Linked DNA regions of Mytilus edulis. The protein of the gene in region 1 purifies or fractionates together with the protein of each later gene. This does not show direct contact. Links are inferred from orthologs where the notes say so. Each region holds a gene or a part of one and is shown in the gene's direction. Other genes may lie near its edges. The genes, in order: pleckstrin homology domain-containing family M member 1-like, ras-related protein rab7 and vacuolar protein sorting-associated protein 41 homolog.

Region 1 (11,593 bases):
GATGTTATTATATGTATGTGCGACGAGGTTGAAAATTTGATATGTTTTGTGAAAATTGCAGCGCTGGATCTAATATAAAAAAGAAGATGTGGTATGATTGCCAAGGGGACAACTGTCCACAAGAGACCAAAATGACACAGAAATTAACATTTATAGGTCACCGTTCTGCCTTCAATGAGCAAAGCCAATACAGCATAGTCAGCTATAAAAGGCCCTGATATGGCAATGTAAAACTATTCAAACGAGAAAACTAACGGCCTTAATAATATAAAAAAATGAACGAAATATGTAACACATAAACAAACGACAACCACTGAAATACAGGCTCCTATATATACAAACCTATATACGTTTTTATTTATTAGATAGATTTTTTCTCCTTTTATATATTATATTCATTGACATGATTGATATTGGGCCGGGTTTTTTTTTTTTCTTTTTTTTTTTGTGTTTTTTATTTTAGATTGTTTTACACAAGTAATTTTTGGGTCATTTATAGCGTACTTTTCGCCCCCCCTCCTTTTTTTTTGAACGATCAATGCATTTGAATGGGGACATGTAGTTTGAACCCCCATCCCCCCTTTTGTCCTTGGTTAGGACCCCCCTTTTTAAAATGACTGGATCCGCCCTGCCGCTTTCATAACACTTATTTTAAGCATACTGAATATTATGATGTTCTTACTTTCAGTTCAGGTCCTGATAAAACAAATACACATCCAGTACAGAAAGAAGTGTTTCAATGAAAGTTTTCGTGTTTTTCTAGGCAGAAATGATTTTGGAATGACATAATACAGGTTTAAAAGAGCTCAAAAAATTTCGTAGTGGAAAGTGGTCATTTCATCTGAAATTTCACTGTTTCAGGTCGTAAAATTATTGCACAGGTACAATGCATAACAATGGGAAAAAACCTGTTCAACAACTTTAACAAGGCGAAAAAGAAAGTCGAATAGTGAAGCCCATAAACAATACTTTTTTAATCTGAGCATGCAAATTGAAGATTATGTTATATATTTTACAATAATCACATTCGCAGAACAAAACCATATATTTAGAAGATCCCAGACACTATATTAGTTGACAGTTCTTCCACTAATTCCACATGTTTTCCGGTTGTAGTAAACTTGTAGTAGCCCACAATGCATTGTAGCTCATTGAGTCGATTGGTCAGTTTTTCAAGGTCGTATTGGCCTTGTGTTTGGGAAATTACTATGCAAATATATTCTGACGTAAAGAAACCTAGAGTTCTCGACCTGTTTAAAATCTGACAAGGTCAAAGATGAAGCTAGTAATATATATCCTTGGTCCCTTTCTGCTACACAAAAAAGGTTGATTTTAATAATGCGCAACAGTGACTAAAGCCCTCAAAATCCTAGCTTAAACCCTGCAATAGTGGAAGTATTTGGTTGGTTTGAATACTTTTTTAAAAGTGGTTTCAGCACTATGACATCTCAGAGGAAGGGGTCACAGAAAAATATTACATGAGACTTCCAAGGTGTCATAGTTGCATGTATCTGGACTATTCAGACTATTATGGCTTTTTGTCCGCCATTAGTCATTAATGGATATCACAACTGTAGGTTCCTGTAACATTTTGACATCATAACACAAAATATCTGACGCCACAATGGAAAAGTGATTGTTGTATGACGTCAATTGTTCAAGCAGCCAGGTCAGTAGGGAATAGCGATATGGTGTATTCAAGGCCGTAGCTACCCTTGAGGCAAGTGAGGCAATTGCCTCACTAAAATTTCGACACTGATTATTTTTTTTATACATATATATCAATATAATAGCCATTTGTTGTTCTGTCTCAACCTTAATTTCTATCTGAGACTACTATAACACATGTGTAGTCTCAGTTTCTATATAACTTGTCCGATCATTCCTTTTAAACTATTCTTCCTGGATATAACTCAGCATCTCAACGGGTCATGTTTCTCGATAACATTAACCCAGTAATGATAATCATCATGGATCTCTAGTTAAAAACAGGCTCTTGCAGAAAAGGAAAAGTGACACTGAAGGTAAAGAAGGAATAATTCTAGTACACTAGTTTTTTTGGGAACAGAGTCTGAGTATTGTATATAACTTCATTAGAACAATCCAAAAACGATAAGTAGACTGACAAATCAAGTACTGGTATTCGGAAGGGGGCAGTTCTGTCTGCGTATTCATTTCTCCGTTTAACCAACTTTTGACAAATCAAGTCATCGGAAGGGGGCAGTTCTGTCTGCGTATTCATTTCTCCGTTTAACCAACTTTTGACAAATCAAATTATCGCAAGGGGGCAGTTCTGTCTGCGTATTCATTTCTCCGTTTAACCAACTTTTGACAAATCAAATTATCGCAAGGGGGCAGTTCTGTCTGCGTATTCATTTCTCCGTTTAACCAACTTTTGACAAATCAAATTATCGCAAGGGGGCAGTCCTGTCTGCGTATTCATTTCTCCGTTTAACCAACTTTTGACAAATCAAATTATCGCAAGGGGGCAGTTCTGTCTGCGTATTCATTTCTCCGTTTAACCAACTTTTGACAAATCAAATTATCGCAAGGGGGCAGTTCTGTCTGCGTATTCATTTCTCCGTTTAACCAACTTTTGACAAATCAAATTATCGGAAGGGGGCAGTTCTGTCTGCGTATTCATTTCTCCGTTTAACCAACTTTTGACAAATCAAGTCATCGCAAGGGGGCAGTTCTGTCTGCGTATTCATTTCTCCGTTTAACCAACTTTTGACAAATCAAGTCATCGGAAGGGGGCAGTTCTGTCTGCGTATTCATTTCTCCGTTTAACCAACTTTTGACTAATCAAATTATCGCAAGGGGGCAGTCCTGTCTGCGTATTCATTTCTCCGTTTAACCAACTTTTGACAAATCAAATTATCGCAAGGGGGCAGTTCTGTCTGCGTATTCATTTCTCCGTTTAACCAACTTTTGACAAATCAAATTATCGCAAGGGGGCAGTTCTGTCTGCGTATTCATTTCTCCGTTTAACCAACTTTTGACAAATCAAGTCATCGGAAGGGGGCAGTTCTGTCTGCGTATTCATTTCTCCGTTTAACCAACTTTTGACAAATCAAGTCATCGGAAGGGGGCAGTTCTGTCTGCGTATTCATTTCTCCGTTTCACCAACTTTTGACAAATCAAGTCATCGGAAGGGGGCAGTTCTGTCTGCGTATTCATTTCTCCGTTTAACCAACTTTTGACAAATCAAATTATCGCAAGGGGGCAGTCCTGTCTGCGTATTCATTTCTCCGTTTCACCAACTTTTGACAAATCAAGTCATTGCAAGGGGGCAGTCCTGTCTGCATATTCATTTCACAAACTTTAATCTTTCTCTTTACAGATAAATAAAATATAAATAATATGAAACATGCATGGATTAGTTTCTATCCATGTTTCTTTAACCTTAAAAATTGAAAGAATAGCCCATATTCCAATTTGATATTATTGAGAAATGGTAGAACCTTTAACACAGGATTTTGTCTTTACTTATTCGGGACTACGGAATTTTGTTTCTTTATATTCGGGGTTTCGGAATCGGACACCCCATACTCCTAACCCCTAAATTTATAGATTCTGGAACTAAAATACCACCCTGGAACTATTTTCAGAAATAATTTGAAATTATGGACCTATATGTAAACGTCAAAAACTCCATTCCAATTCCCCTGTACCCATATCATATATACTCTATAGATAGAATCATATACATTTATCTTATCTCATTCTATCCCTAGTTTGTCTACTCTTTGTCAGCATAAAAGCGAGTTTAATATTTTATAACTGCAACTGTATGATGGTGCTTACAGGAAAGCTTAATTCCCTTTTGCAAACAAAACTGTTACTACCGAAGCTGCTACCAAATTGCTGATGGCGAAGAAATTGGAAGAAGACATTGATCATTGTGTTGATGATAATGTGCTTCCTTTAGAAACACAGACTGCCCTGAAACGACTAAAAACTTGGAAAAAGAGCATGCATGAGTGGCGAGAGATTGTGTGGGCTTGCCATGTTCATCGCGATAAGGATATCAGCAGACTGAATTATGATTCTGAAACGAGTTGACTGAACCGGCCATAGAAAAATTTGGCAAACTCTACTGAATCGATGTTTGTTCTATGTTCTGGCAGCAGACTCAAATCAGTGATATTTGGATGATTATCTTATTTATAAATTTAAATAAAGTTGTTAAAAATTTGGTGTTAGTAAAAGTCTTAAAATATAAAAAAAATATATAAAAAGTGTCCAAATTCAAAACATTATCAAACGCTCTACAAATGCCTAGAATGCAGGATTTTGCACCATTCATTTCATATCCTCAAAAATAAATTTTCGCCTCACTAAAATAAGATGCCTAGCTACGGCCTTGGTATTGCGATATATGAATTTTACCGGAAAGTGCATGAATACAACAGATGCTATCCAGTACAGGTTTTTCTTGTTATTTTCAGAACAGTTACACACACTTGCTTAAGTTATCTAGTGTCTAGAGGATATTTATCTCATTGGCAGTTAAATGCATTTAACCTCATCTTATCATACATGTTAATGTTATCTTATATTGTGTGTTTTAAGTAAATATATGAAAATCTAGAATAATACTGAAATATAAGTTTATGGTATCAATATCAGTTTATAATGTATTTGTATCGTCTTGGTACCTGTTTTGACGCGGACCAGAAATGACGCACCAATTTAGTTTTGGGTTTTATATTTCTAAACAAAAGATGTGACGTCATCGATAATTACTATTCATAACATGATGGTGAAGGTCATATGACTACAACATAGATGCCTCAAACTCTGTCCAGAAATGTTATTATTGCTTGAATTAGTAAAGATAATGCAATTTCTGCCATTTTATTAAGGTCAAAAACAGTCTACCCTTCCCAGAATGATTATCAGTCCTAAATCCACTTTGGCCGGCAAAAGTATGTATGCACATGCTGCCCCAGTTTGTGTTTTTCAAATCATATGACTGTCATGTGACATGGTTTTACATTTAAGCGGGAATCACTGTAGAACAAATGATCGTCGCTTATATAATTTTCTATTGTTTATCGATTTTTTTCATTCATTGTACGAAGTATACATTGATAAATGTTTTAATGTCAATGTTGTTTTATGAATGCAATTACTTCTTATTTTCAAGTATATGGAATATATATGTCACTTTGATAAATTTTGAACAATTTTATATAAAATTTGAAATAAAATATAGGTTACAATTAAATTAATGAAAAAAATTGTGTTGCTATCAACATGATCATAAAAGTGACTGTAAATGTCAAAATTTGTTATTAAAATTAAATTTGTTGAAAAGTGTTAACTTTAAATTATCCGGATTGAAGCAATTTTTCGAACATCAGGTACACTGCAAGTGGTTTTTACTGGTTTGTTTATAGTGCGTCATTACTGGTACCCATCATAAGTTGACAGTCCGTTTGTAATGTTAGCAAACATGATTTTTATTGCTTTTACTGTTTCAAAAATCAACTGTTTAATGATTGAAATACATTAACAAGTGATCAATCTTTCATTCTATTCCGTGTTTCTTTTTCTTTTAAATGGTAGATTAAATGCAGAGACAAACACAACGTTAGGTGCGTCATTACTGGTTCCTCGGGGATATACATAGAATTGGCTCATGACTTGTTACATGAATCTTTATTTCATTTATGTGTTGTTTTAAAATTATAATTGACTGTATTTGGATCACGCCTCTATTGTGCTCTTTCCAATAAAATATTGAATTGAATTGAATTGAATAATGTTATGCCAAGTAAAATAATAAGTTTAATTCTAAAATTTACTGGTCTAAAATTATGTTTGTATATTTATATGGTCAATGTCAGTTGAAAAACAAAAAAATGCCCACTTTGTTGAGTTCTTCATCTGTCAAATCTCTATCTAGACTTTCAAGATTCTCAATCTGTCGAATTTTCTTCCTAATTTTACGAAGTTCCAACGCGGCACCTGTCCTAGCAGAAGCCATTTTCCAACCGGAAGCTAAGGAGAATCCAACATTCGAATTTTTCTAGCTTGGTCGACTTTAAGGAGTGAAGAGTCAAGAGGGACGAAATAACCGGAAATAAATAAACCAGCTGTAGGAACACCCATCACGAGAGGAACGCAGAATAACAAAGCACTTATATATGATCTTTTATGTTTATCAGTCTTTACATGTTATGTTAGAAACTAATGAGTCTTTCAGGGAAAATTTTCAAGAAGCGTGGTAATTTGAGGAACACTTAAAAACACTGTTAAATCTCAAACAAAATGTAGCATAATTTCAGAGTCGAAGAAATGATGTGAAAATCCATGGATGGTACCAGCGGGATTCGAACCCTCAATCTCGGGATCCAAAGGCAGCGCTCTAACCAATTGAGCCAAAGAAGATCTTCCCTAACTCAGCGAGTTAGACTACCTTTATATCCCCAGGTCTACAACACTCTTCCCCTTTTTCTTTTTTCAGGCTGCGTACCATCCATCCGAGCAACTCACAGGTCCACTACCTGTACAACCCCGAGACATCTACTCGGAAATCCTCTGGCCAGTTCCACCTAGATATGTCATGGTCATCCTATGACCGCTGGTCAACCACCATGACCCCATATCTAACTGCCAGGCACCTATATAACACTTGTTTGTACAAGTAGTAATTATTGCTCACAGCGCCAATGATGTGAAAATCCATGGATGGTACCAGCGGGATTCGAACCCTCAAAGAAACACCTGTCATAATTTCTATTATTATTAAATTTATGGTACTACAGTCTATATTATCATATTAGTATAAAAGCCAGTATGTAACACTTATTTGTAATTTTTCATTCAGTTGAAAATACAAAATCAGGGCCGTAACTACATGAATGTACCTATGAGGCAGGGGAGGCATTGCTGCCCTGAATTTTCTACTCCAAATTTTTTTCTTGAAGTAATCAAATGAAATATTGACAATATGTACACGAAGAACTTGAATTTATGTTATAAACAACACAAGTTTACAGTTTTAACAGTGTTCTCACCAGTGTTCCACTACAAAAAGCTGGGGCACTTAACGCACAATTCCAGTCTGTATTTACACCAGCATCTAATATTTCTCATACAGAATTTGTCAAACAGTGTAACATGCCACAGAATACTTCTTTTCCACCCATATCAAAATTAATAATAAAAACAGAAGGTATACAAAAACTCTTACATAACTTAAATCCAAACAAAGCAGCAGGACCAGATGAAATTAAACCAAGATTTTTAAAAGAACTTTCACATGAAATTGCACCCATACTCACTATTATCTTTGAGAAGTCAATCAAAACAGGCGTTGTTCCAGATGACTGGAAAACTGCCCATGTCTCTCCTGTATACAAAAAAGGCCAAAAATATAACCCTGAAAACTACCGTCCTATATCACTCACATGTATTTGTTGCAAACTTTTAGAACACATCGTAGTAAAACACATCATGAAACATGCAGATAATCACAACATTTTATATCCCCTACAGCATGGATTTCGCAGAAATCGATCCTGCGAAACACAACTATTAGAATTTATAGACGATGTCTCACTAAACATGGAAAATGGTAAACAAACAGATATTTTGGTCATGGATTTTTCTAAAGCATTCGATAAAGTTTCACATTCTTTTTTAACTAATAAGCTTCATCATTACGGGATACAGGGGGAATTAAATTACTGGATACAAAATTTTCTTAGCAATCGCAAACAGGCAGTAGTTCTAGAGGGGGAAAAATCTGAGTATGTTGCAGTTGAGTCAGGGGTTCCACAGGGGTCAGTTCTTGGACCAAGTCTTTTCTTGTTCTATATTAATGACATTCCATCTGGTCTAACATCTACAGTACGTTTATTTGCAGACGACACAATAGTTTATTTGGCAATAAAATCAAACTCCGATGCATTAACACTACAAAAAGATCTTGACAAACTGGCATCGTGGGAAACTACCTGGAAAATGGCATTCCACCCAGATAAGTGTAATGTAATTTCAGTCACCAGAAATAAAAAACCAATCACATTTAACTACACATTACACAATCATTCTTTAGAACATGTAACAACAGCAAAATATCTGGGGGTCACCATCAGTTCAAACCTTAAATGGGATGTGCATATTAACAACATATGCAAGAAAGCTAATAGCACACTAGGCTTTCTAAAGAGGAACCTGAACATAAGTTCAACATCCATTAAAGAGCAAGCATATAAGTCCCTAGTAAGACCATCACTAGAGTATGCTTGCTCTGTTTGGGATCCATACTTACAACAAGACATAGATAGCATTGAAAAAGTTCAAAGGAGGGCTGCGCGTTTTGTTACTAACAAATACAGAAACACCTCAAGCGTTGGTAACATGTTACAACATCTTGAATGGCGCAGTCTCTCTGACAGAAGAAAAGACTCCAGATTGGTAATGCTCTACAAAATTGAACACGAAAAGGTTGCAATCCCTAAACAAAATAAATTAATTCCACAAAAAAGACAAACAAGACATACAAATTCGAACAGCTTCCAAATTCCATCCTGCAAAACACAGTACAGAAAAGAGTCATATTTTCCAAGAACTATCACCGACTGGAACAAACTACCGGACAACATTGTAAATTGCACTTCAGTCGACTCTTTCAAATCTTCAATTTCAAAGCATCAATATTAACTTAATTACAACATCTTACTTTATTATACAAAACATTTTAAATTTTTAATTTTTCCTATTTTTTAAAAATTGTACATTTTTCCAATCTATGTCTTGTTGTAAGTTTCCTCCTGTGACATAATCTTCAATTTGTTGAAGGCGGTCACTATATGGTAGAATAGAATAGAATAGCCCATGGCCAGTAGTCAACACTCCGGTGTTGACATCAATATCAATAATGTGGTCATTTTTCTAAATTTCCTGTTTACAAAACTTTGAATTTTTCGATACACTAAGGATTTTCTTATCCCAGGCATAGATTACCTTAGCCGTATTTGGCACAACTTTTTTGGAATTTTGGATCCTCAATGCTCTTCAACTTTTTACTTGTTTGGCTTTATAAATATTTTGATATGAGCGTCACTGATGAGTCTTATGTAGACGAAACGCGCGTCTGGCGTACTAAATTATAATCCTGGTACCTTTGATAACTTTTTTATCATAATACGTGATATCTGTCATTTTCCGGATTTTTTTTTATCGAAATTGGACCGTTTCAGTATTTTTTAATTTTTTTTTTCGTGTGGCTACGATAACACATCTATGATTAAAACCTTGCTTTCGACAAAATTGAATAAAACTTAAAACCATTCACATTTATTTAGGGGCTCAATTAAGCAGAGAAAGTTCCCTTATATATAATGTATTGTGAATCTTTTATGATATCGGAAATTCATTGCCGATTGTTAGCTGTTGGGTCATTTTTTAACGTCTTCCGAACGTAAGAGAATATTATGGTCAATGCCTTAGTAGTTTTAAAAACACTCCTAATTGTTGTAGCAGTGACTTTCTATACTAAGTATATACTAGTAGAAAGTCCCTGGTTGTAGTTATATACATGTCTGTTCTGAGCTTTCAACAATATTGAAATTCAAGGTCCTCAATAAAAAAAATATCTTGCGTTCTATGAACTTACTTTACATGTATTTTTAAGTTACCAGCTTGATTCCTAACAAAAATGTATTTAAAAACAGATAATAATTGGTTACATAAAAATTTCTTCAAGGATCCAGCAATACTGTTTCTTTTAAGAAGTAAGGAAATCGAAGGAAAACGGGTGATTTTTAGCCATATTGAGAAAAAAAATCCGCGGTCACAATGTATTTAATGTTGACAATAATAGGTTAAAGTATGGTCTCCAAGACGAAGCCTTGGTTAACCCCGAACAACAATCTCAGCTTGTTTTTGCATAAAAAATGCTTCCAGGTTCAAGCAATACTGATGTTTCTTAAAGTAAGGAAATCGAAGGAAAATGGGTCATTTTTAGCCTTTTTACTGAGAACAAGGATATAACAATCCTTGCTGAGAGAAAAAAAAATCTTTTAGGGGCGGCCCCAAACCGTCATCAGTAGTTACAGCTCTGCATCAGTGCATGAGCAGTACCCCTATCCTACACTCATTGATCAGAAGAAATCTCCAAATAAGCAGTGACTTTCAAAGACCAAGCATACCAAACACATAATAAACCATAACTTTAATACTGTGGTACTGCTTAGGCTCCTTAAACAACTGAGAACATGTATTAAAAAAAAGGTACAAAGACGTTAAGCAAGATGTGTTGGGTCATACTTTCTGGTGGCCTAAAATTGGCGTATTCATGTATAAAATATTGTTTGAAATGTGTTTTTTTAAATTTATTTACATGTTTTATATTCGCCTTATAAAGCTATTTATTTACAATAAAAGTGATTTATGATGGATATAACAGATAATATTTTTCATATTTTTCAGGACCAACAAGAGATGAAATCATACGAGAAACTAAGATAAAAAGAAAGATATCATCAGAGTTATCTTCGGCAATTAAATCTCTACAACAAGAGCATTGTAGTACAGGGGAGGCAATCCTTAGGTAAGTGAACCGTTTTGTGAAAATATCAGTTATACCAATTTTCTAAACATCTTCATATATTGAACTTATTTTTAGTATGTGTCATAATAATGTGAGTCTTATATCTGGTACCACTGCATTGATTTGTGCCTGAAATAACTGGGTTTGTATTTTGAACATGTTGAAAATTTCATGATAATAATTATCATACAGTTACAAAAGAGGGACTAAAGATACCAAAGGGACAGTCAAACTCATAAATCTAAAACAAACTGACAACGCCATGGCTAAAAATGAAAAAGACAAACAGAAAAACAATAGTACACATGACACAACATAGAAAACTAAAGAATAAACAACACGAACCCCACCAAAAACTAGGGGTGATCTCAGGTGCTCCGGAAGGGTAAGCAGATCCTGCTCCACATGTGGCACCCGTCGTGTTACTTATGTGATTACAAATCCGGTTAATAGTCTAATTCGGTAGGTCACATTCATGAAAGGGAAGGGGATTGTAGTTACGATGTAAGGAACATATCCGATTTCATTTGTGAAACGGTTATTCCATAACGGTCAACCAACTCGTGATGGCGTCCGTAAAATTTACGAAGGTATGATTTCAACTTCACCATTTGGAACTCTTGGTTTAATAGCTTCCTTGTGAGCAGTAACCCTCTATCAAGAAAATCATGATAGGAAATGCAAGCACGGGAATATCGTATCAATTGGGAGATACATACCCCGTATGCAGGTGCTGCTGGAATGTTGCTACTTAGAAATGGAAAGTTCACAATTGGAAAGCTGAAATCATCTCTTTTGTCGTAAAGTTTGATTTTTTAACCGACCCTCATTGTCAATTTCTAGATGTAAGTCAAGAGATATGAAGCCGACTTAACTGTATCTGTAGTATCCTTTATCTCCAATTCGATGGGATAGATGCGTTCCACATAGTCACCAAATTTTGAATTGTTTAGTGAAAGAACGTCATCTATATAGCGGAAAGTAGAGTTAAAGGATATTGCTAACTTCTTATCTTTCTTCCTA
Region 2 (11,731 bases), on another chromosome or scaffold:
GATTCAAAAGATTTATCAATGAAGATGATAATAGAAGAGAATACAAACTTTTTAAAATAACAGACAAATTGCAGATTGTGTCAAGGGAGATAACCTGTTAAGAAAATGAATTAATAATGTGTTTAAAAAAAATAATAAAAGTATTAAATTAAAAAGTATAATGCAAAAGGCTGAGACAGATGATACAGCAAAGATTTAAACATGAGTTGAATTAAGAATAGCCAATAGATTGTGACAAAAGCTCGAATTGGGATTGCAATGCAAGATTATTGTGACAGGGGAGACAACTGACAAAACAATGGAAAGCAAATACATTAAATTAAAAAGTATAACTATAATGTGAAAGGCTGAAAATATATCTCAGCAATATATGTTAAACTTAACCAATCAATTGCTATAAGGGGATAAATCAATGGATTGTGTTAACATTGAAACAATAATGGAACATAACAATTAATTTTCTTAAAAGCAGATTGTACATATAACTATTAAAGATTCAGGAGTTAATTATAAATTGACTGCTTTTATGAACCAGATGCTCCGCAGAGCGCAGCTTTATACGACTGCATAGGTCGAACCCTGAATGGTTGGGGCAAGTATGGACACAACATTCAAGCTGGAAACAGCTCTGAATTTGGATTGGGATTAAATAGTTGACACAGCATAGGTTTCTGACACAGAATGAATGTAGTCTAATGAACTTAAAAAATTTTTTTTTTTGCTTTTGAGCAATTAACTATGCTGTTGAATATTAATCCTCTCAAAAAAAAACATTTAAAGAAATTTTCTTTTTAATTTCTGAAATCTGAAATGAGAAAAATTGACCCCCCCCCCCCAATTTTTTTTTCCACCTCCCCCTTTCCCTAATTTCAAAAATGATCTCAATTCAAGTACTTATGAAGTTTGCAACAATAACTACTCATTTAAATACATCATAAAGTATTAAAATATAAAATGTCTTACAGTCATGGTTAAAATTAATATTAATTAATAGTAACTTCTAAAAAAATATATGGGGAATGTGTCCAAAGGAACACAGACATGTCCCTGCTTGCATATAACGTTATAAAGGGACATAACTTAACAACTGTAAAAATGAAGCTGCCAAAAATTGAACTTAAACTGAGTTTAGAGGTTATAAGCATTACATACCCATTTCATTAAATTTAGTTAAGACAAACTTAAGTTAAGAGAACAGAAACAAAAAAAAAAAATCTTCAATTTTTTCACTTGTAAAGGGGCATTACCCTAGAATGGTAATCAAAGTGCTTGTAATCACTGATAGTAAAGATTGCTTTAATTTATCAGTTGGTAGTAAAGTGAATATTGCATTGTATTTTGTATATAGCATTGACTTAAGTTGATTCAATTACTATTAATATTGACAGAGAAAGATAACTCCAATTTTAAAAGAAGATTTCATAAAGTATTGGTTTTAGGTGATTCAACAACCATTCTGGACAAAGAAAGATAACTCCAATTTATTGTCTTGAAACTACAAAAATGCTTGTTTTTGGCCTCTTTTTTGTCCTTTTTTCCTAGACTGTTTGCCCCATAACCCTTAAAATATATCCCAACCTATTACTTATGGTATTAAACAATGGGTACAATTTCAGAACAATTGAAAAACTTATACACAACTTATTGTCCTGACACTAGATAAATGCTTGTTTTGGGCCCCTAATTTCTAAACCTTAGATAACCCCCAAAATCAACCCAAGCTTCCTTTTGTGGTTATAAACATTGTGTTAAAATTTGATTGATTTCTAATTACTAAAATTGTCCTGACACTAGATAAATGATGGTTTTGGGCCCCTTTTGGCCCCTAATTCCTAAACCTTAGGGACCATAACCTCCAAAATCAATACCAAGCTTCCTTTTGTGGTTATAAACATTGTGTTAAAATTTTATTGATTTCTATATACTTACCGGTATACTAATGAAATTATCCAGAAACCATACGTCTTAAGACGACGACACCGACTACGATGTGATACCAATATACAACCGCAATTTTTGGGGTCGTATGAAAACTACAAGAAAGCTGAAATTTCTATAACTTTTTTGCAGAGCAAACAATTATGTCTAAATAACAAAAAGCTTAAAACTAAATGCTGACATCACAACTGTTTGTATTGGTTAACTACTTTGACCAATCTTTTAAATTAATCAGGTTGATATCATATTTAAAAAAATAAAAAGTGAAACATCCTTACTTCGTATTTTATATTTTCAACATTACTGCCTACAGCTATAGACTTGGCTAATTCTATTCCACCTTCAGAATAGTCAACTCCTGTCAAATTACTGTAACCTCTCTGGCTCTAAAGTATAAAAAACATATATATATATCTGTTAATATTATTAATATAGTTTTTCATTTTATATCTACATGTACTATGATTTCCATGGAATATTTCAAAATTGTAATGATTAGTTTTTTTTTCTGTTCATGTAGATGATACTTATTTCATATCTTAATACTAATATCAGTGGCTGAGCAGGTTTTATGGATAGCTGAAAATCAACTGATCGTAATGTTTAAATATGTTTTTTTGGATCACTGTCTGATTGCTGTACATTTAACACTCTTTGTTCATACAGATAGGATGTTCCAAAATTACCCTATCACATTTTTAGGGATATCCCAAGAGACATGTTAAGCTAACCATTTTGCACTTGGCACAAATGACAGGCGCGGATCCAGAGGGGGGGTTCCAGGGGTTGGAACCCCCCCTTTTTTTTGGCCGATCAATGCATTTGAATGGGAGCATATAGCTGGAACCCCCCTTTACTCTGGGTTGTGAACCCCCCCTTTTTAGAATGGCTGGATCCGCCCCTGAATGATTACATGGTCAATCAGTATTAAAAATAAATAATCTTTTAAGATCCTAACAATAAAGCAAAAATTATAACTTTGAATATCCCAACTCTTCCAGTGCGTTATTGCTTTTGGGTTACAATGATATATTATAACAAGTATGAATATATAAGTTGGTATTTGTGCCCTCTTCATTTAGAAATGTTACTGTTACCATATATACTTTTCATAAATTTGTCATCTTAATAAATTCAGGAAATGCTTTATATGTAACTTTGAAAAAACATAAACCTTCAATATTTATAAGAATGAGTGGTGATGTCATGTTTGGCAGAGCCAATACTATTGTACTAATAAAACCAAAAAATGTATTTAAAAGTGATTAGAGATATGAATTACATTTAAAGAGATATGGTTGAGAGGTTCAGCTTGCTTTAAGACCAGGTTTAATTCACCAATTTCTACATAATGAAATGCCTTTACCAATCAGAAATATGGCAGTTATTTTCCATTTGATTAATGTGTTTGAGCTTTTGATTTTGCCAATTGATACTTAAGGGACTTTCTGATTTGAATTTTCCCTTTTTTTAAAACTTTTTTCTGACTTTAAAGAAAGTTATAAGTACACTACATATATTTACTCATGTTAGTCATCAGTAAAGAAGAATGTAAAACAACGTTCATGGACACAACAATAAGCAAACTACCAATTCTACAAGGAGCATTCCATTGCCACAGCCTAAATCTATTATGGAATCATCTGATTTTATTTCCTCATTATCTTCTATCCAGTCCAGTATTCTTTCCTGACTATCCTCTCCAAACCTAAAATTATTGAACAGGTATTAGAACTTTTTCTTTCTATAAGCAGTTTTTCATTTTTGGCATCTTTATTCTTACTTCTTCTCCTCCGATCAAAAGCATTTTATGTGAAAACTTAAAATATTGTGGTATGCATCATTTATTCAAGCAGCAGAAACAAAAACAAAAGTAACATGAAGACTTTTTCTTGAAAAAGATACGATAAAAAGAGTTTCTCCTCATTTTGCTCATAACTAGTTTTACCAACAAAATGTGTGCAAAATAGTCATTTCACAATATGTCAATTTTGAAGATGTTTATAATGTCATAGTGAAATCACATCTTCAATTTCTATTCTAAACTAGGTCAGTATCATTTTATTTTTCATTTATCGATTGAACCATGTAATATTAAGGAATTGGATTAATATTACAGTTTTGGAAATTTCAGGGCCAGCTTATCATATCTCATTCACTTGTATCTCTCAATAAACGAAGAACAAAAACTTATGCGCTAACTTATATGGAAACAAACAGACAGCTATCAAAATAACAATGAATAAAAATTTTGTTATTAACCATTTTAGCCAAGAAAAAACAATCAATATCATATTGATAGTTTTTTCTTAGCTATTATATGAAGTTTCCATATAAGCCTCAATAAAAGTTATAAAATAAAGTTGACATAAATAAACAAAAATTGTTGTTTTTTTAACCAACAAGAAACAAATGTTTTTTTTCACCTAAGGCTATTAGTTAACTCTTTTCCATTGTTTTACATATCATTATTGCTATTGAAGCCAATTATAGCTTTCTATGAGGTTTGTTTTGCTCATTGTTGAAGGCTGTACAGAGGCCTATATTTGTTGACTACTACATTATTTGGTCTTTGGTTGAGAGTTGTCTCATTGGCAATTTAACCACATCTTCTTATTATTTATTAATACTAAATGTTTGTGTTCACTTACATTGATCTTTGCAAGTTCAAGTATCTATCATGTCTATATCCAACATTTGATTTATTACTATTCATAATTTGATCATATATAGAAATATGAAGATGTGGTATGAGTGCTGATGAGACATCTCTGCAGTCACAATTTGTAAAAGTTAATCATTATAAGGTCAAAGTCTTAGTACATTCTTCAACACGGAGCCTTGGCTCATGCCGAACAGCAAGCTATAAAGGGCCCCAAAACAACTAGTGTAAAACCATTCAAACGTGAAAAACAACGGTCTTAACTATATATAAAAAACGAGAAACGAGATACACTTACATGTAAGAACCACATCAACAAACTACTGAACATGTATGCATATTAAAGAATATAGAAGATATGTTTATAAATATGCCACAACATAATCCCTTTCCAAGAAAAAGCAGAAACGTTTTACTTTTCTTAACCTAGTTTTTCATTTAATAATTTACCAGATCTCTCCAACATCACCTATATCTTTAAAAGCTTCTAGTTCTTTTTCATATGTGGAATCCCAGCTGAAAAAGAAATATGAGGATGTCAGTTTAGACATATGTATAAGAATTAATAATGTACTGGTAAAAAGAAATAAGCGATCATTAATCGAATAATTTTCGAAGGACATTAAATATAGCTACATTTTGTATTTAGGAAGGTCCTCAGGATATTCATACTATACTGGAGTGGCAGTTTTTTTTTTTTACAGAAAAGAGATAGCACAAAAACAAGTACAAAATGGTGATTAAGAAACCAGATCTCAACGAAATGACAGAAAAAAAAATCTGAAAAAAAAAAATTTGTCCTAAATCCCAATTTAATGTTTAGGACAAATCGATTTTAGATTTGGTCATGACTGGCAAATTAACCGTTTCAGAACCTTTATCTCTAATTTAGTAAATAATTGACGTCAGTGAAGTTGGACAGATGTCTTGTACAGTACTTTGTTCACATCTATCATCGTTTACCATACTACATGTAATTTCTTGCGGATAAAGTTTCACTATCATGCAGCCTTGTTGTTTCAGTATACTTAAATTTCGTTTTTGCTGTACTCACAAATCCATTGTTTCCTCAAATAAATTCAGTTATAAAAACAATTTCTAATTAATTCTTGTGGACTCATAGTTAAGGAGAACAACACCACCAACTTTAATTTGTTCTTTGATATATCCATATGCTTTTTGATATTCTCTCAATGCTGTTAAATAGTCATCTATTGTTTCACCTTGTCAAGAAGTGTCTTTCTAAATAAATAAACTGTACATGCAACTTTTCTTCCTTTATTCATATATTCTTGACATCCTGGTCACGGCACCAAAATTTTGACATGTTGAGAATATGTGAAGGAAGAAAACCTTACCTGTTATAATTTTTTAGTAATCTATAGAATGCCCAAGTATACAAGTGTAAGGTCAGAAAGTCTTTACATTACAATACAACAACTTAGGGACCTTCTAGTGTTGTGTACGTGCCATATTTACAACAAAAGGAGTTAGCAATGTTACCCGAGTAGAACTTCAATGGTACGAGATGATATAGTACTAGTTTACAACGATAGGAGTTAATAATCTTCAATGAAAATAACTGGTTCAGTCTCCCTTTGATCAGTTGATTTCCATCATTCATTCATTGTCTGACAACTTTATATATAAAAAAAATATATAGTCTTTACAGTCATCACTATTTTGTGCCTTATAATCAATAAAATTACATACTGTCAGAAAACTTTATAAATCATAATGTTTACAGTAAACGCATTTGCTTTTGTGCACACGTGCTTACTGTTCAATAGTGCCTAATGATGATGATTCAAAATCACGTTGCCCTGGACCTGACATGTCAACAACTTTGGGTCGATATTGTAAGAGACCTTCCGAAAAATTATTCCGGAAGTAAATAAATTTTGACGTAATATGGGTCACGCGACTGCGCCATTTTGTAGGAGTTTTGATTATTAACAGATCTTACAGCTGAAGTAACCTATTTATTCACAAACAAAAACAAGGTAATTTAATTTAGAAGTAAGATCTGAACTCATATTTCAGTTTGATCGCTATTGTCAGTCATAAAATTGCACAAGAACACCAGAAACGACTGTTCAATGACACCTAGTTTTTATTTTATTAAAATGTTGATCAACAGGACAAATATTGAAATAAACTAATCAACAAACTGTATAACGTCTGATTATACATAAAACTGCTAAGATGTCTATCATTCTTGCAAAAGAAGGAGACTTTACTTTCGTAAATAACACAAATAAAAAATCACAAAAAAATACCTAGAAACATGACCTCAATAAATTTGATGTTGATCAGCTGATTCATTTAGAGCCCAGATAATTTATTGTCAAGTCTGTTTTCTTCTTTTTTCAATGAAAGAGTGACATGAGAAAAAAAATTGTGCCACACGGGGAAAAATGCTCAGTCTCGAAATTGTATGATATGTCTTCAATAGTATGATATGTGTAGCTGAGTAACTTGAATACATTTTTACAGTTTTACTTCAGTCTGAAATCATGGCGCTGCTCTACAATCATGACAATGGCTACTTTAACGTTTGAATCATTCAGAATCATCCATAGACCTCTTTCCAATGTTTGCGCCTTTCTGTAATTTTCATATGTCTCATCATTCTCATTGCTGATGTTATTACTTCACAGTACATTGTACAGTAAGCACCAACAGTTCGTTGTCCTTTACTTTAGGCCGATTCACTCATTCATCTAAAACAAATTGAAATTGGTATAAAATTTGAAAACAATAATTTTTTTAATAAGTTCAAAACACTAATGTAGATCAAATTGATCCGACTGCTGATATGCCAACTGTCATGTACATGTTGTATAGTCCAAATATTATGACGTCTGGCAAGGCTATTTTAATTTTTTTTCTTGGACGCCTTCCTACCACGTCATAACGCTGAAGCCATTTTTTACGTCTGGAGTTTGAGACCTAATTTTGCAGCGGCGGATGCAGGAATTTTCGAAACGGGGGGTGCTAACCCAGGGAACCCAGGGCAAAGGGGGGGTGCAAAACATATGTCCCGATACAAATGCATTGATCGGCAAAATTAAAGGGGGGGTGCGCACCCCCGGAACCCCCCCCCCCTGGATCTGCCACTGTTTTGATGTGAAATTTTCATCGCTGGTTAGAAATTTTTACTTTATTACAAATTTTTGTGCATATTGATGTAAAATATTTCCAGAAATATCCAAAAGAAATGATAAAATAAGATGTGATTCCATTTCAAGTGGGCAAATATTTATTTTGTTTCAAAGAGATTTCCCACAATTACCAAAGAAACGTGACTTCCGGTGAAAATAAAATTTAAAAATCGGTTAAATTTGAACGGACCCGAATTTCCGAAAATTGGCCAAATATTGTAAATCACAGGATTGCAATTATTATCTAACTTTTGAACTTATCAGTTTTGTTGTTTTTTATCCCTTCAGAAGGCTAAAACAATAACAAGAACGATTTTATTTGTGTTACTTTGTTTATATGATGAAATCAGCTAATGCGCAGTATCACTGGCCGCACGGACACCAGGGACATCACTGTATTAGACAATGAGTATTAGTTTTATTACCAGTCATAATCATGTAAAACCAACTTACTATGGAATTAACATTATTTGTGGGATACCAATTATCATGGATTTCATTGGTAAAGATGGAACACGATATTGAAAGTTTTTGAAGTTCATTTTTTCTTCATGCTTGTAGCCAAGTATTGGCAAAAACAGGATTTCAAATACATGTACAAAATGTATCTGTGAAAATACCGATTTTCCTAAATCCATGAAATTAGATGAATCCACAAGTACAGCGTTTATGTACATGTAATATGAATAGACATACACAGATTCCCGTAAATTTTGGACGGCATAAAACAAAATATCTGACGTCACAATGGAAAAGTGATTGTTGTTAACTATAAAATTGATATCAAGTATTATTTATATAACATTTTTTTGCAAGGTAGGCAAATTCAGGTTGTCATGAGCCTCTAGTTTCTAATGTGAGTAGGCTATAAAGACATTGATTTAGATGTACATCGTCATGTACCACACATTTTGTACATCATTACATTGTTGTATTTCTTAAACTAATGATCTGAAAGTAAACATGTCATGTACATGTCAGGACTAGGTCAGGAATGTGGTCAGTGGTTGCTGCTGTCTCTTTATGTTATTGTGTCAAACTGTCAACGGTATTGAGAATATGCTATGATAACCAGCTTTTCTGTTAAAATGCTTGAATTATGCCTGAAAGTTGCAATTTCCTTCATTTTTCTTGGAATCTATGTATACATATATGCAAATAAATAAAATAGAGATAGATGAAAAAAAAAGATTTCAATATTAATTTGTAGTAATGCAAGTTAAAAAAATAAATAATATCTTTTATAGTAATTTGAAAACAAAACATGTCAAAATTTTATTAATGGATTATTATTTTTTCAGATGGCATCAAGAAAAAAAGTTTTGCTTAAAGTTATTATATTAGGGGACAGTGGGTAAGTTGAGAAGTCACTTTAAGAAATATGTAAATGAACAGTAATAGTAATACTGTATTTATTTATGCCATCACAACTTTGATGAGGAGTTTTCTTGACAGCAAAACAGTGGTCAATCCTGTATTCCAGTCTATTCCTTGATGGTGTCAACATTTTTGTTCAGTATGAGGTTCATGTTTCTTTTAGGGGTCATGATCATGATCTGTAACTTTGTCAAAATTTGATGGAATTTTACAAAACTGTCAATAGTTTGACAGAAGTTAAGGTTCCAATTGTTAAGGATTAAAAAAAACTGTATCAAGAGCAAATGTTATGAAACTTCATGTTCAAGAAGTAGCATCTGAACCTTGTCTTGGCAAATCCCCGAAATGATTTTTTTCATATAAAAAAAACTTTAGTAATAGTATATTGTAAGATCCTAATGTAGAACTGTACACATGTTCCCTATGACATTATCTTTCTAATTTCTATGCCACATTAGATATTTTACCCAAACTTCACGGTCTACTGAACATCAAAAATGATGGTGGGGGTAGAACATCCGTGTACTATGGACACATTCTTGTTTTCTGTTATCAATTCAAACACTCAAACGCATGAACCCCTACCAAAAGTTGAGGGTGTTCTTATGAGTCCAGAAGGGTTAGCAGTCAGATTCTGCTCCACATGTGTTGCCTACCCAGTTGCTCATGTACATATACATGTCTGTACAAATTCCGTTACTACTCGTATTCTGTGATGTCACATTGGAGGAAAAGAGGATGTGGTTGTGGTTACAACAATTGATACATTTCCGTTGTCATTTATTAATGATGTTTGTTTTGAATCAAAGTACACATAAATGATACATGTACAACATATATTGGATTATTTTTAGCTCACCTGGCCCGAAGGGCCAAGTGAGCTTTTCTCATCACTTGGCGTCCGTCGTCTGTCGTCGTTAACTTTTACAAAAATCTTCTCCTCTGAAACTACTGGGCCAAATCAAACCAAACTTGGCCACAATCATCATTGGGGTATCTAGTTTAAAAAATGTGTGGCGTGACCCGGTCAACCAACCAAGATGGCCGCCATGGCTAAAAATAGAACATAGGGGTAAAATGCAGTTTTTGGCTTATAACTCAAAAACCAAAGCATTTAGAGCAAATCTGACAGGGGTAAAAATGTTTATCAGGTCAAGATCTATCTGCCCTGAAATTTTCAGATGAATCGGTCAATCGGTTGTTGGGTTGCTGCCCCTGAATTGGTAATTTTGAGGAAATTTTGCTGTTTTTGGTTATTATCTTGAATATTATTATAGATAGAGATAAACTGTAAACAGCAATAATGTTCAGCAAAGTAAGATCTACAAATAAGTCAACATGACCAAAATGGTCAGTTGACCCATTTAGGAGTTATTGCCCTTTATAGTCAATTTTTAACCATTTTTCGTTAATTAAAGTAATCTTTTACAAAAATCTTCTTCTCTGAAACTACTGTGCCAAATTAATCCAAACTTGGCCACAATCATCTTTGGGGTATCTAGTTTAAAAAATGTGTGGCGTGACCTGGTCAACCAACCAAGATGGCTGCCACCGCTAAAAATAGAACATAGGGGTAAAATGCAGTTTTTGGCTTATAACTCAAAAACCAAAGCATTTTGAGGAAATCTGACATGGGATAAAAATGTTTATCAGGTCAAGATCTATCTGCCCTGAAATTTTCAGATGAATCGGTCAATCGGTTGTTGGGTTGCTGCCCCTGAATTGGTAATTTTGAGGAAATTTTGCTGTTTTTGGTTATTATCTTGAATATTATTATAGATAGAGATAAATTGTAAACAGCAATAATGTTCAGCAAAGTAAGATCTACAAATAAGTCTACATGACCAAAATGGTCAGTTGACCCCTTTAGGAGTTATTGCCCTTTATAGTCAATCTTTAACTATTTTTCGTAAATCTAAGTAATCTTTTACAAAATCTCCACTGAAACTACTAGGCCACAATCATCTTTGGGGTATCTAGTTTGAAAAATGTGTCCGATGACCTGGCCATTCAACCAAGATGGCCGCCACGGCTAAAAATAGAACATAGGGGTAAAATGCAGTTTTTGGCTTATAACTATGAATTCAAAGCATCTAGAGCAAATCTGACAAGAAGTTAAATTGTTAATCAAGTCAATATCTATCTGCCCTGAATTTTTCAGATGAATTGGACAACTGGTTGTTGGGTTGCTGCCCTCCAATTGGTAATTTTTAAAGAAATTTTGCCGTTTTTGGTTATCTTGAATACTATTATAGATAGCGATAAACTGTAAACAGCAATAATGTTCAGCAAAGTAAGATCTACAAATAAGTCAACATGACCTAAATGGTCAATTGACCCCTTAAGGAGTTATTGCCCTTTATAGTCAATTTTTAACAATTTTCATTAATTTGGTAAATATATGTAAATTTTTACCAAATATAGTTCTCTGTTACTAATGGGCAAAGTTCATTATAGATATAATTGTAAGAAGCAAAATCGTTCAGTAAAGTAAGAACTTCAAACACATCACCATCACCAAAATACAATTTTGCATGAATCCATTTGTGTCCTTTGTTTAATATGCACATAGACCAAGGTGAGCGACACA
Region 3 (10,897 bases), on another chromosome or scaffold:
CATTTTCTATTTTGTAATTTAAAGCTCCATAAATGGGCTATATAAAGTCGTCCTTACAGTGATTTTTCAATGAAATCCCTGTTTCTCATTGGCTATCTGGAATTGCATTTTGAAACTTTTAAAGACATTCGACTGTTGGTTTTCCCGTTTGAATGGTTATACACTAGTTTTTGGGGCTCTTTATAGCTTGTTGTTCGGTGTGAGCCAAGGCTCTGTGTTGAAAGCCGTACATTGACCAATAATGGTTTACTTTTATAAATTGTTATTTGGATGGAGAGTTGTCTCATTGGCACTCATACCACATCTTCCTATATATATTAAGAAAAAGAATGGTTGAATCTTATAATTATGCAATAATTCTTTTCCTCTTACTGTGGAAAAATAATTCAAGATTGATATAAAGTTATTTTTTTCAGACAAAATCAAAACATTTATTTATTATCCCTGTATTAACATTTTAGGCTCTACTTCAAAATATTAATGCAGAAAATTGGATTTTTCTTGAAAAGTAACATATTATAGAGATATTTGTAGCTCAATTTGGCCTAAGTAGTTCAATTTTGCTTTTTAATACCTAGAAAACCTAAAAAGATCACAGGGAAAAAGGGAACAGTGCATCAAAATGACAAATAAAAAGGATTTTTACCATGCTCAGTGAAAATTGTCGAGCAGCAACACTCACAATGTCATACGAAATTAATTTAAGTTTAACCAGATGCTCTGCAGGGCCAAGCTTTATAAGACCGCAGAGGTCGAACCCTGAACAGTTGGGACAAGTATGGACACTACATTCAAGCTTGATACAGCTCTGAGATTTGGATTATGATTAAATAGTTGACACAGCAAAGGTTTCTGACACAAGAATAAATGTGGTCTAACGAACTGAATTTTTTTTTCCTTTTGAGCAATACTCTATGCTGTTGAATATAAATCCCCTCCAAAAAAAATATTTGAGAAAAATTCTTTTTAATTTCTGAAATCTGAAATGAGAAAAATTTTACCCCTAAACCTCCCCATTTTTTTTCACCTCCCCCCAATCCCTTATTCCAAAAATAATCTCAATTCAAATTTCTAATTAAGTTGGCAACAATAACTACTCATTTAAAAACATCATAAATTTTTAAAATATAAAATAACTTACAGTCATGATTAAAGTTAATATCAATTAACAGTAACCTCTAAAAAATAAATTTACAGCTTCATGTCTCAAGACAATTATCACTTCCTTTAACATAATTTTCAAGCAGTGTAAGGGAGGTAATCAAACATATATATATACAAATGTAACAGTATTCTTTAAATTTTAATTTGAATTGGATTACCTCCCTTACACTGCTTTTAAATTGTCTAAATTGTCCTTTAAACAGAAAAACCCTTGTTTCCCCCCTTTTTCCACTATTTGCTTAATGACCACCTTTAGGGTATGGAAACTTCAGAGAGATTTATACTCTTAAACACAAGTTATTGACTGAAAATTACAAAAATGCTTTAAAATTTGGGCCCCTTTTTTGTCCCCTCACTTATTGAAACCCCCCTTAGAGTCATAACCCCAAAACTCAATTCCAGCCTTTCCTTTGTAGTAAGAAACCTTCTAGTATAATTTCAGAGAGATCCATACACTTTAACACAAGTTATTGTCTGTAAACTAGAAAAATGCTTCTTTTTGGCCCTTTATTCCTAAATGTTCAGGGATACCTAAACTGACACCAAACCTTCCCTTCACTATATGGAACCTTGTGGTACAATGTCAGAGAGATCCATACAGTTAAACATAAGTTGTTGTCCTGAAACTTCAAAAATGCTTGTTTTTGGCCCTTAATTCCTAGACTGTTTGCCCCATAACCCTTAAAATATATCCCAACCTTCTACTTAATGGTATAAACATTGTGGTACAATTTCAGAGTTATTGAAATACTTATACACTACTTATTGTCCTGAAACTAGATAAATGTATGTATTGGGCCCCTCTGGACCCCTTATACCTAAACCGATGGGACCATAACCCCTAAAATCAATCCCAATCTTTCTTTTGTGGTTATAAACATTGTGTTAAAATTTTATTGATACATATTTACTTATACTTAAGTTTTTATCCGGAAACAATCTGTCTTCAGATGAGGCTGACGATGACGCTGACAACATGATACCAATATATGACCGCAAATTTTTTTGTGGTCATATAAAAAGTAATAAATACAATACCTATGCATGTATAACAATAAATGAACACCAAAATTATATTGGAACTTTAATTTCTAAACAATTTAGCACTTGATGGAAGAATAAAAATAAAGTCATTGAGTTAATAAGGGGAGACAATTTTAATCACTGTAGGATAAACTGCAGTCTGTACAGTTAGCCACTAGTTTGATGCCCCAGACTACATGTAGTAAATATTGCTTCAGACTAGTGAACATTTTCAAAATTATATATAGTCATATAATGACAAGTTATGATATTTAGTTTTCCAACTAGTAGATTGTGGCACAGACTGAACTGTTAATTGCTCCAAGTTTATGAAAAAGACTTGCAAATATCTGCCTTATATGAAAATTCTCTAATTATGAATAAAAAAGATATTTATAACAAAAATACCAACAACACTCACAAGATACCTGAGTGTGGTTGTACTTACCAACCCCTTTAGTTTTTAGTGACACATATACTACTCCCCTCCTTAGTTTATAGCTACATGTATACAAATTCTCCCCTTTGATATGAGTTTTTAGCTACATATGTACCAACAAATTGTTAGCTACATATTTAAAGATAAAACTAAACTAAATACAACACTCACAGTTCCCAGAGTGTGGTTAGACTAATATGTAGGTTTTTTTTAGCTACATATTATGTTCCAACTCTCAGAGTCCTCTTTAGTTTTTAGTTACATGTACATATATTTTTTCTCCTTCAAATTGTTCAAGGCAATACTCAGTATAAACACAATATATTGAACAGATAATTCTATTTCAATAAAAACTAATACATCCCCCCCTTTTCCACCCCAAAAATATAAAATAATTAAAATTAAATCTTTACTTCAGGTTTTCATTTTATTTTAGTCATATGATATTTTTTCTTTAGAGTTAATAGTAGTTTTTATAAAGTTACTAAAAATGACAATCTGGAACAACCTACAAAAAAAGCTGCATCATTTAAACCAAGATTCATAATATTAAACATAAAATTATTAAAATATATATTTTTTAAATAAATCTTTATGTTCTCTGCTAAGAATTAGCTCTTATTATTTTGTTTACTTTTATTATATCCATGACAACAGACACACAATTGTCAGCATCCATTCTTACTAGTTTTCACATCCTCTCAGCATCTGAATCAGAATAGAATGGCATCCAAAAAAATCAATAATTTCATTTGATGCCAGACAAAGACGGAGATAACTGCCATTTCCACGTTCAATTTTCATCCACTTTCATAATTTTTGCGCATTTACTTGATAAATTATGATAATAAAATGCCATAATATATACAAAATAATATATGCAAACCAAATATAATCAGCATCTCTTACCTAAAATTTTCTCTGTAGCCTGGAGTGGAATGCACGCAAATAATTGCATTAAACTATGAAATCGAATAATATTTTACATGATTTACTTTAATGTCACAAATTGCAGCTTATGAACTGTGTATTGACATGAAAGCACGTGGACTTTATAATAAATTATGTTAATTTTTGATCAACATAAATAAATATTAGATTAGCTGTCCCAACCTACCTGACCCACGACAAAAAATAGTTCTATGACTCAGCGGACTGATATTGCTTACAAAAATGTTACTGTTTCCAAATATAGATTGGGGCTACCAATGAGGAATACAAGAAAATTATATAAATAAAGAAAAAATGATTACCATAAATTCTAACCATTATACATGATCCTATATCAATATTTATAAAATTTGCTCATAGGTTCACTGCTTCTTAAAAATATGACTTGAAGTTGCTTGTTTAATTGATTTGACCGAATAGCCCACAGGTGCCTTGTTTAATACGGATGAAAAATATAGTGCTTCAGATAAATATTTGTATTTAAAATAAATGATCAAAAAACAGTTTCAAAAGTAAGAAAATAATTTACTTTGAGTCAGTTCTGACAAATTCAATGTGATTTAAATTTGATTTGATCAAATGAAACAACCGCATCCTGAAGTCATGTGACTGCGTTTGAAGTCTGTACAAAATGGCGTCTGTTGATGAGTTTGAGGTTTGTCTCAAAATGAAAATACAATCTACCAACATGAGTACCTTAACCATTAATTAATGATAGATACTCAGAGCTTTTTAAATGCAACAGAGTGGTATGGCCTGTCTACATAGGACATGTAGCGGAGGTTTTCAATTCCAGTTTTCACCCTTTATTAGAATTTGGGTTTTGCAAAAAGAATTTTTATATTTTCCTTGACAAACTCAGTTATTATAACTTAAGCACATTATGTGTTTCAATTTATCCCTGTTACATTTTCCAGTAAGAAGTTGAACTCATACTTGAGTGATTTAACAACCTGCACGGTAAAACAGCAAGTTTCATCATTGTCCTTGAATAAAAGTAAATAGTATTTCAAATCTAAATAGTTAAATTAAAGCTATTTATGCTGTGACTGTATACAAAGTGGCCAGTTATTGCCTAGTGAGGCTGCTACTTTGGGCAGGGTACATTGGCTAATCTGACCCTGCATGAACTCTTCAAGTCTTGGTGCAGCTGCTACTATGACTGGCAGTACAATGTAGGTTCCAGTACTAGTCTTTATAAAATGCTGGAAAAAGGAGTTGATGTGAACTTCCTTTTTTGCTCTGATCTGACAACGTCCTGGGAAAGTGTTGCTGTACTGGTTGTAGACAAAACATGATGTTTTTCGCTGTACCCTTTCAAGGATAAGATCAAGGTTGTTTGATGGGGGACAACACTGGGACTATGCAACATACATGTACCCAATATATTATAAGAACTCATCTTTCAAACAGAACTACTGTAGCTACATAATAATATTACACGCTTAATCAACACGTGTCTTATGTCTATCTCTAGATTCGCCTTCTGTGACAAGGTAACACTACCACTATTGAAGTTATATTTTTATATAGTGGATGTGGTCGAGAGCGCCGGACATGAGGCTTCAGCAATTGGTGCTGTAGTGTATCAAAGGTGTGAGTTTGAATCCTGCTAAGGGACAGACAAAAAATTTGTCAGTAGAAAATCTAACTCTAACACTGTTGGGTGTAATTTTCAGACTTATATAAATATTTGTATTAACTATGTATCTAAATCACTCTGAGATCCAGTGGGCATATATATAATATTGTATGGTTTGTCACTTGTTTAGACTTGTTTTTATGATATATAAGACAGCATAGTGACAGCAAAGTCACCTGAAGGCTTATAAGCATCACTGTATAGCCACATATAGTGCTAATTTAATTGATTCCCTGTATCCATTCTACAACATATGTATACAGGGCTTCCAAAAATATTTGAGCCAGCCGAACATTTTTGTCTTATTCAGATTTAATCCCATAATTTAAAACTTAGTAACAAAAAGCAACCATAGTAATCAGTTGGGCATCATGAATTATGATTAACACAAAAACAGTATTTGATTTGATTTCTGATATAAATTTGATGTTCTGACACTAACTTTTAAATTGGCAGTGTACCATTAGCATTGTGCAACATCAGAGTATTTATATCTGTGTAAGACTCTTTATTTTCTACAAAATTACGCTGTCAATAATATCTTTACTTTGGTTTAAAAAAAAAAGTACTTTTCCTATTATTGGATGTTGACTTGACATTGGTAAAACATGGACTAGAGACGGATATCATGGATATGTAAAATTGGTATTCGTTTTAATAGCACGATTGAGATTAATTAGATCTTTTCACATTTTTTTGTACAAGAAAAGACTCGACAAGAACGTTGTCTGCTCTATGGTCGGGTTTTTGTCTCTTTAACACATTCCCTATTTCCATTTTCAGTTTTATCAATGATATTTTTTAGCATTATTGAAAATTTCGAATGCAAAATTTAATCTCACACCTGCGCACATACGCATGAGTGTACTAGGTCAAACAACAGGGTCCTGACAATTTTTCTAAAAAACACTTTATTACTACTTTTTCAAATTTTCATCAAATCATATTTACATAAGTTTTCTGGTAATATGAATCTTGTTTGGATTAATTAATTAGAAAAAAAACCCTGAAATTTATGAACTTTTAATAATAGATCAATGTCCTGTACAAAATAGTTTACCTGTCGCCTGAACAGGTAAATAAGCTGTCAGAGAAAATAATTAATCTTGATTGTAAGGGATGACATCAAAAGATCAATGTAGGATAAAAAACTTAAATCAAATAGTTTGGGGGTGGGGGGTTAAAATTCTGCAAGTTTTGTTTATCTTAAATCGATTTTTACATATATCCCTATTGGTAAATCAATGTTTCCCAAATTAAGTTAAGAGGGGGGTGGGGGGCTCAGTGAAAAAACTATGTGAATTTAAAAGTTTTTTATCCTACATTGAACTTTTGATGTCGTCCCTAAGGATAGGGTATTAGAATTCGGATTGTTTTGATAGTAATTATTAATCATGTCACTTATATGACCGGAAATGTGTAGCTATTTGAGGCAAACGGTCAGGTCAAAAAGATCGTATAAACTTTTTTTTCTGAACTATAATAAAATGTCTATTTTTCCTCTAAACTATTTTAAAATGACTGTTTAGCCTTGGCACAACAAGTCATCTATATAATTTATCGGACTTGTAAGTAATATATAACCGTTTTGGAAGCTCTATATGGATTCTTACCACTGTTAGGCCAAATAAAATAGTATGCGTAGTTCCAGTTACATCGTACAAAAAGTCAGGGTTGGTACAATGTAGATAGGTTTTTTTATTTTATTTTATGTTATTTTTTTATGGAAGCAACATTCTGACTTTGACATGTTTAACAGTTCTTAATGAAAAATGACAGACAAATCTTTAGGTATTCTATTTTTAAGACTAAAATTTAGGGTAGGTACATTTAGGGTAACTGGAGCCACACATATATTTTTATTTTGCCTTATAAAAACTTGACAGCTCATTGGGGTTTCTCTGCATAATACACTTTTAATGGCCATAAAATTCTCATATTTTTGGGATACAATTGCTTTCAAGCAATCTGTAGACTTACGGTGGCTCAGAGCATTGCCCTCACGTCAATCGTTTTATTCTAAACATTAAGGAACATCTCAGATTCTTATGATTGTCTTGCTTTAAAAGGTAAAAACAAACAAAGGGATTGAACTTTACTATAATGTTCTTTTCATAATCTTCATGTTTGATAATTCCCTTGACTTATATGCGTGTTTTAAACAACACGGAAAATCAGAATTAAGCAGTATTTATATTTAGTATTTTTATAAATTTAGAAACACGTCAGAGGGAATTCCCAGTTTTGATAAAATGCGAGAGTTCTCTGAATTCCGATAAATCTATTTCTGTCATTTAAGAACTGAAGTGGAGTTTGTCTTGTATGTTACCGTTATGAAACTGAATTTTGAGATTGTACTTCCATGAAGAAATAGAGAACCATCTAGGTTGTTTATAAATAAACACTTAATATACGTTCTTGCTCCAGGGTTTGTTTTGGAAATTATGCGCATGTGTTTTTTTTTTCTTGACTTCTAGGGGTTTTAGATTGAATGGTTGCTCTGGATTCTCCACTCAATTAATTAATTTATAACTCGTGGAATCTTTTCTATGTATGTCTGCTATTGAAGGTTATTGTTATTGCATAATTTTAAATCATATGCATCATTTAAATTAAAATAAATGTAGTCCTCATTGTAGAACACCCCTTCAGGCGAAATGGAGTCTTCCATATTATGGTTTCGAGTTGTCTCCCTTCCGGAAGTAACTTCCGTAAATTCTGAATCAAAACAACACGTCGAGTATTAGCTCTTCTGTCAATAAACGTCGTATTATATTAAAAAACGATCGCAATTTAAAGCGAATTAAATATTTAAAGAGTTAGGAATGGGGTTCCTCCTAGAATTAACGTAGGAAAATAGGTGATAAGATACGAAGTGAAATACCTTCTCTCAGTCTGAGTCTCAGTGACTGCTGTGGAAAGTAAACTTGGAATTGATTGTACAAAAATAAAACATAGGCCTGATTACATTGTTCATACACTTTTATCCGTGATTGGCTATTTTGTAACTATTTTAAATGTGCAGTTTTGGAAATATTATTATCCAGCTACATGTATACACGTGTCAATGAAACAACGGCAATTGTATCCCTCAGAGCAATCTGCTCTTTGATTATATGATTCTGTTTATTTTCAGAAAACTGAGGACAGTACTGAAGAAGATGAATCAGAATCAGACGAGTCAGAGGAAGTAAGATGTTTGACAAAGTTCTGATTATTTTATTTAAGAAATATTCATTCATCTATCATGTCATGCATTAAGCTCATTTTAACATGGGTTGTGATTATATTTGGCATTTTTGTTTATACTGAGTGTTAGTGAAGTCAATGAGGTGTTTAATGTTGACAGTTGTTATGAATATTTACCCATGATGATGTTGAAATAAGCAAAGAGTGTTGCATGACAGAGTTATTTTGATTCTAATTGAAAAATTAACAACCTTTTCACTTTGAAGCAGACCTATAAGACACCAGCTTTGATTTAATGTAGCCAAGACATTACAGAGAACAAACCATTTCTTGATTAAAACTCACATTCCATATGAATTATATTGAAAGAAACAAAAAATGTTACTAAATTTAATAGTTAAAGATAATCATTTCTTGTTATAGGGAAAAGATGAACTATGCTGACATGTTAAATAATTTTTATTATCTGCAGTTTCCACAACAAATTTAGGTTTATCTCTGTAGCTTTGAATTTATCCGGTTTACAGATGAATGTTAATATTTTTTCAGGAAGAAGAACCTAAGTTGAAGTATGAAAGAATTAGTAATGATTTAGTAGATATATTAAAGAAAGACTGTATAAGCTGTTTAGCTGTGCACTCTAAGGTATGTCAAACATTCAGTCATGGTCTGGCAGGTTTGGTACAGAATTTTGATCTCAAGGAATAAAAGATTCTGATCAAAAATTCAAAAAGAATCTCCTGCCAAAAAGTTAAGAAGTTTATCTTGATGTATATTCGTATGAATCAAAGAAGTATACTCTTAAGTGATATCAACAGGACAACATTAAGAAATCACACAACATCCTAAGGTCAACTGACTGCCTTCAATTTTTTGTCCTCCAAAGTTGCTACATTGTATTTCTATATATACATTTGTCAGTTTTTTTTATAGTTTTGATAGTTAGAAATGACAACACAATGACACCATTACATTTTCAAAATAATGTTAAATATAAAACAAGATTTGAAAAAGCAATTAAAAGTTCATATAATTTCCTGAAAACGATATACCTTACTGTCATATTAAACATTTTGCATAATGATGTGTGGCTATGAAAGATATTTTTGGTTTCCATCCTAATGTTTATCATTTTCATCTAAATACAGCTAAGTTATATTTTTTATCCAGTTTTTAGCTGCAGGAACACACTGGGGTATGATATATATTTTAGACCACATTGGATGTCATATCAGGGATACAGAAATTACAGCAGTATGTACATAATAAAATCTGACTTACTTTCTTTGTAATAATGTAGTATTTTTTATTTCAGTTTTTATGACATAAAACCAAAATGACATATATTGTAGCATAGTCTTATTAAATTCACATTCATGAATACAATTGTCCCAACACTTTATAATTGAGAGATAACCATTCTGCACATGATAAATGTACATGTTCTTTTCAAAGTCATTTTCTGGATTTTACTTTATGTGTTTTTTTATACGACCACAAAAATTGAAAAAATTTTGGTCGTATATTGGTATCAAGTTGGCGTCGTCGTCGTCCGAAGACTTTTGGTGTTCGCACTATAACTTTAGTATAAGTGAATAGAAATCTATGAAATTTAAACACAAGGTTTATGACCACAAAAGGAAGGTTGGAATTGATTTTAGAAGTTTTGGTCTCAACAGTTTGGGAATTAGGGACCAAAAAGGGCTCAAATAAGCATTTTCTTGGTTTTCGTACAATAACTTTAGTATAAGTAAATAGAAATCAATGAAATTTATACACAAGGTTTATGAACACAAAAGGAAGGTTGGGATTGATTTTGGGAGTTGAGGTCCCAACAGTTTAGGAATTACGGGCCAAAAAGGGGCCCAAATAAGCATTTTTCTTGGTTTTCGCACAATAACTTTAGTATAAGTAAATAGAAATCAATGAAATTTAAACACAAGGTTTATGACCATAAAAGGAAGGTTGGGATTGATTTTGGAAGTCCCAACAGTTTAGGAATTAGGGGCCAAAAAGGGGCCCAAATAAGCATTTTTCTTGGTTTTCGCACAATAACTTTTCAGGGTTCGAACTCTGCGGTCGTATAAAGCTGTGCCCTGCGGAGCATCTGGTTTAATCAGTGGTTCATAGATTTTGAGTTTGTAGTTTCAAACATTGTGAATAATTCACTCATTATAGATAACAGGGTTTAAATTTTGTATGTCAGACACACATTTCATCTACAACAGGCTTATCAGTGAAGCTTAAAAAAAATAAAGTAGAAAGTTGAAGAGCATAACTATTCATTGTAAAATATAAAGTTCTTTGAATAACAATTTGATGACTTTGAGGACACAAAAATTGTACATTTATAGTATATGAGGTTAATTTAATGTACAAAGTCAGGTAATTTTAATTCCTTTATAATATAAACTAAATCAGTATCAAGATATTTCAACATTCTATGATTTTGATGTTTCAGGCTATTGAGGTAAAATATATGTGAAGTT

Evidence for each region.
Region 2: the proteins of pleckstrin homology domain-containing family M member 1-like (region 1) and ras-related protein rab7 purify together in Homo sapiens (affinity purification with western blotting; 5 studies listed by BioGRID and IntAct, with this or other methods). This does not show direct contact. The link is inferred for Mytilus edulis from reciprocal best matches to the Homo sapiens genes PLEKHM1 and RAB7A.
Region 3: the proteins of pleckstrin homology domain-containing family M member 1-like (region 1) and vacuolar protein sorting-associated protein 41 homolog purify together in Homo sapiens (affinity purification with western blotting; 4 studies listed by BioGRID and IntAct, with this or other methods). This does not show direct contact. The link is inferred for Mytilus edulis from reciprocal best matches to the Homo sapiens genes PLEKHM1 and VPS41.

Annotation. Positions count from the first base shown.
Region 1 is NC_092356.1:60,482,448-60,494,040, reverse strand, and holds the start of pleckstrin homology domain-containing family M member 1-like, read left to right. Parts: upstream 1-6,040; 5' UTR 6,041-6,201; coding exon 6,202-6,235; intron 6,236-10,449; coding exon 10,450-10,570; intron 10,571-11,593. Other genes in the region: POC1 centriolar protein homolog B-like, read right to left, coding at 5,879-5,995. UniProt on the Homo sapiens protein: Acts as a multivalent adapter protein that regulates Rab7-dependent and HOPS complex-dependent fusion events in the endolysosomal system and couples autophagic and the endocytic trafficking pathways.
Region 2 is NC_092344.1:39,826,271-39,838,001, reverse strand, and holds the start of ras-related protein rab7, read left to right. Parts: upstream 1-6,339; 5' UTR 6,340-6,380; coding exon of another isoform or gene 6,381-6,436; 5' UTR 6,437-6,603; intron 6,604-9,065; coding exon 9,066-9,118; intron 9,119-11,731. Other genes in the region: EEF1A lysine methyltransferase 2-like, read right to left, coding at 2,217-2,324, 3,529-3,646, 5,051-5,116, 6,381-6,436.
Region 3 is NC_092345.1:99,527,582-99,538,478, reverse strand, and holds the start of vacuolar protein sorting-associated protein 41 homolog, read left to right. Parts: upstream 1-4,155; 5' UTR 4,156-4,208; coding exon 4,209-4,232; intron 4,233-8,355; coding exon 8,356-8,409; intron 8,410-8,957; coding exon 8,958-9,053; intron 9,054-9,578; coding exon 9,579-9,662; intron 9,663-10,897. UniProt on the Homo sapiens protein: Plays a role in vesicle-mediated protein trafficking to lysosomal compartments including the endocytic membrane transport and autophagic pathways. Acts as a component of the HOPS endosomal tethering complex.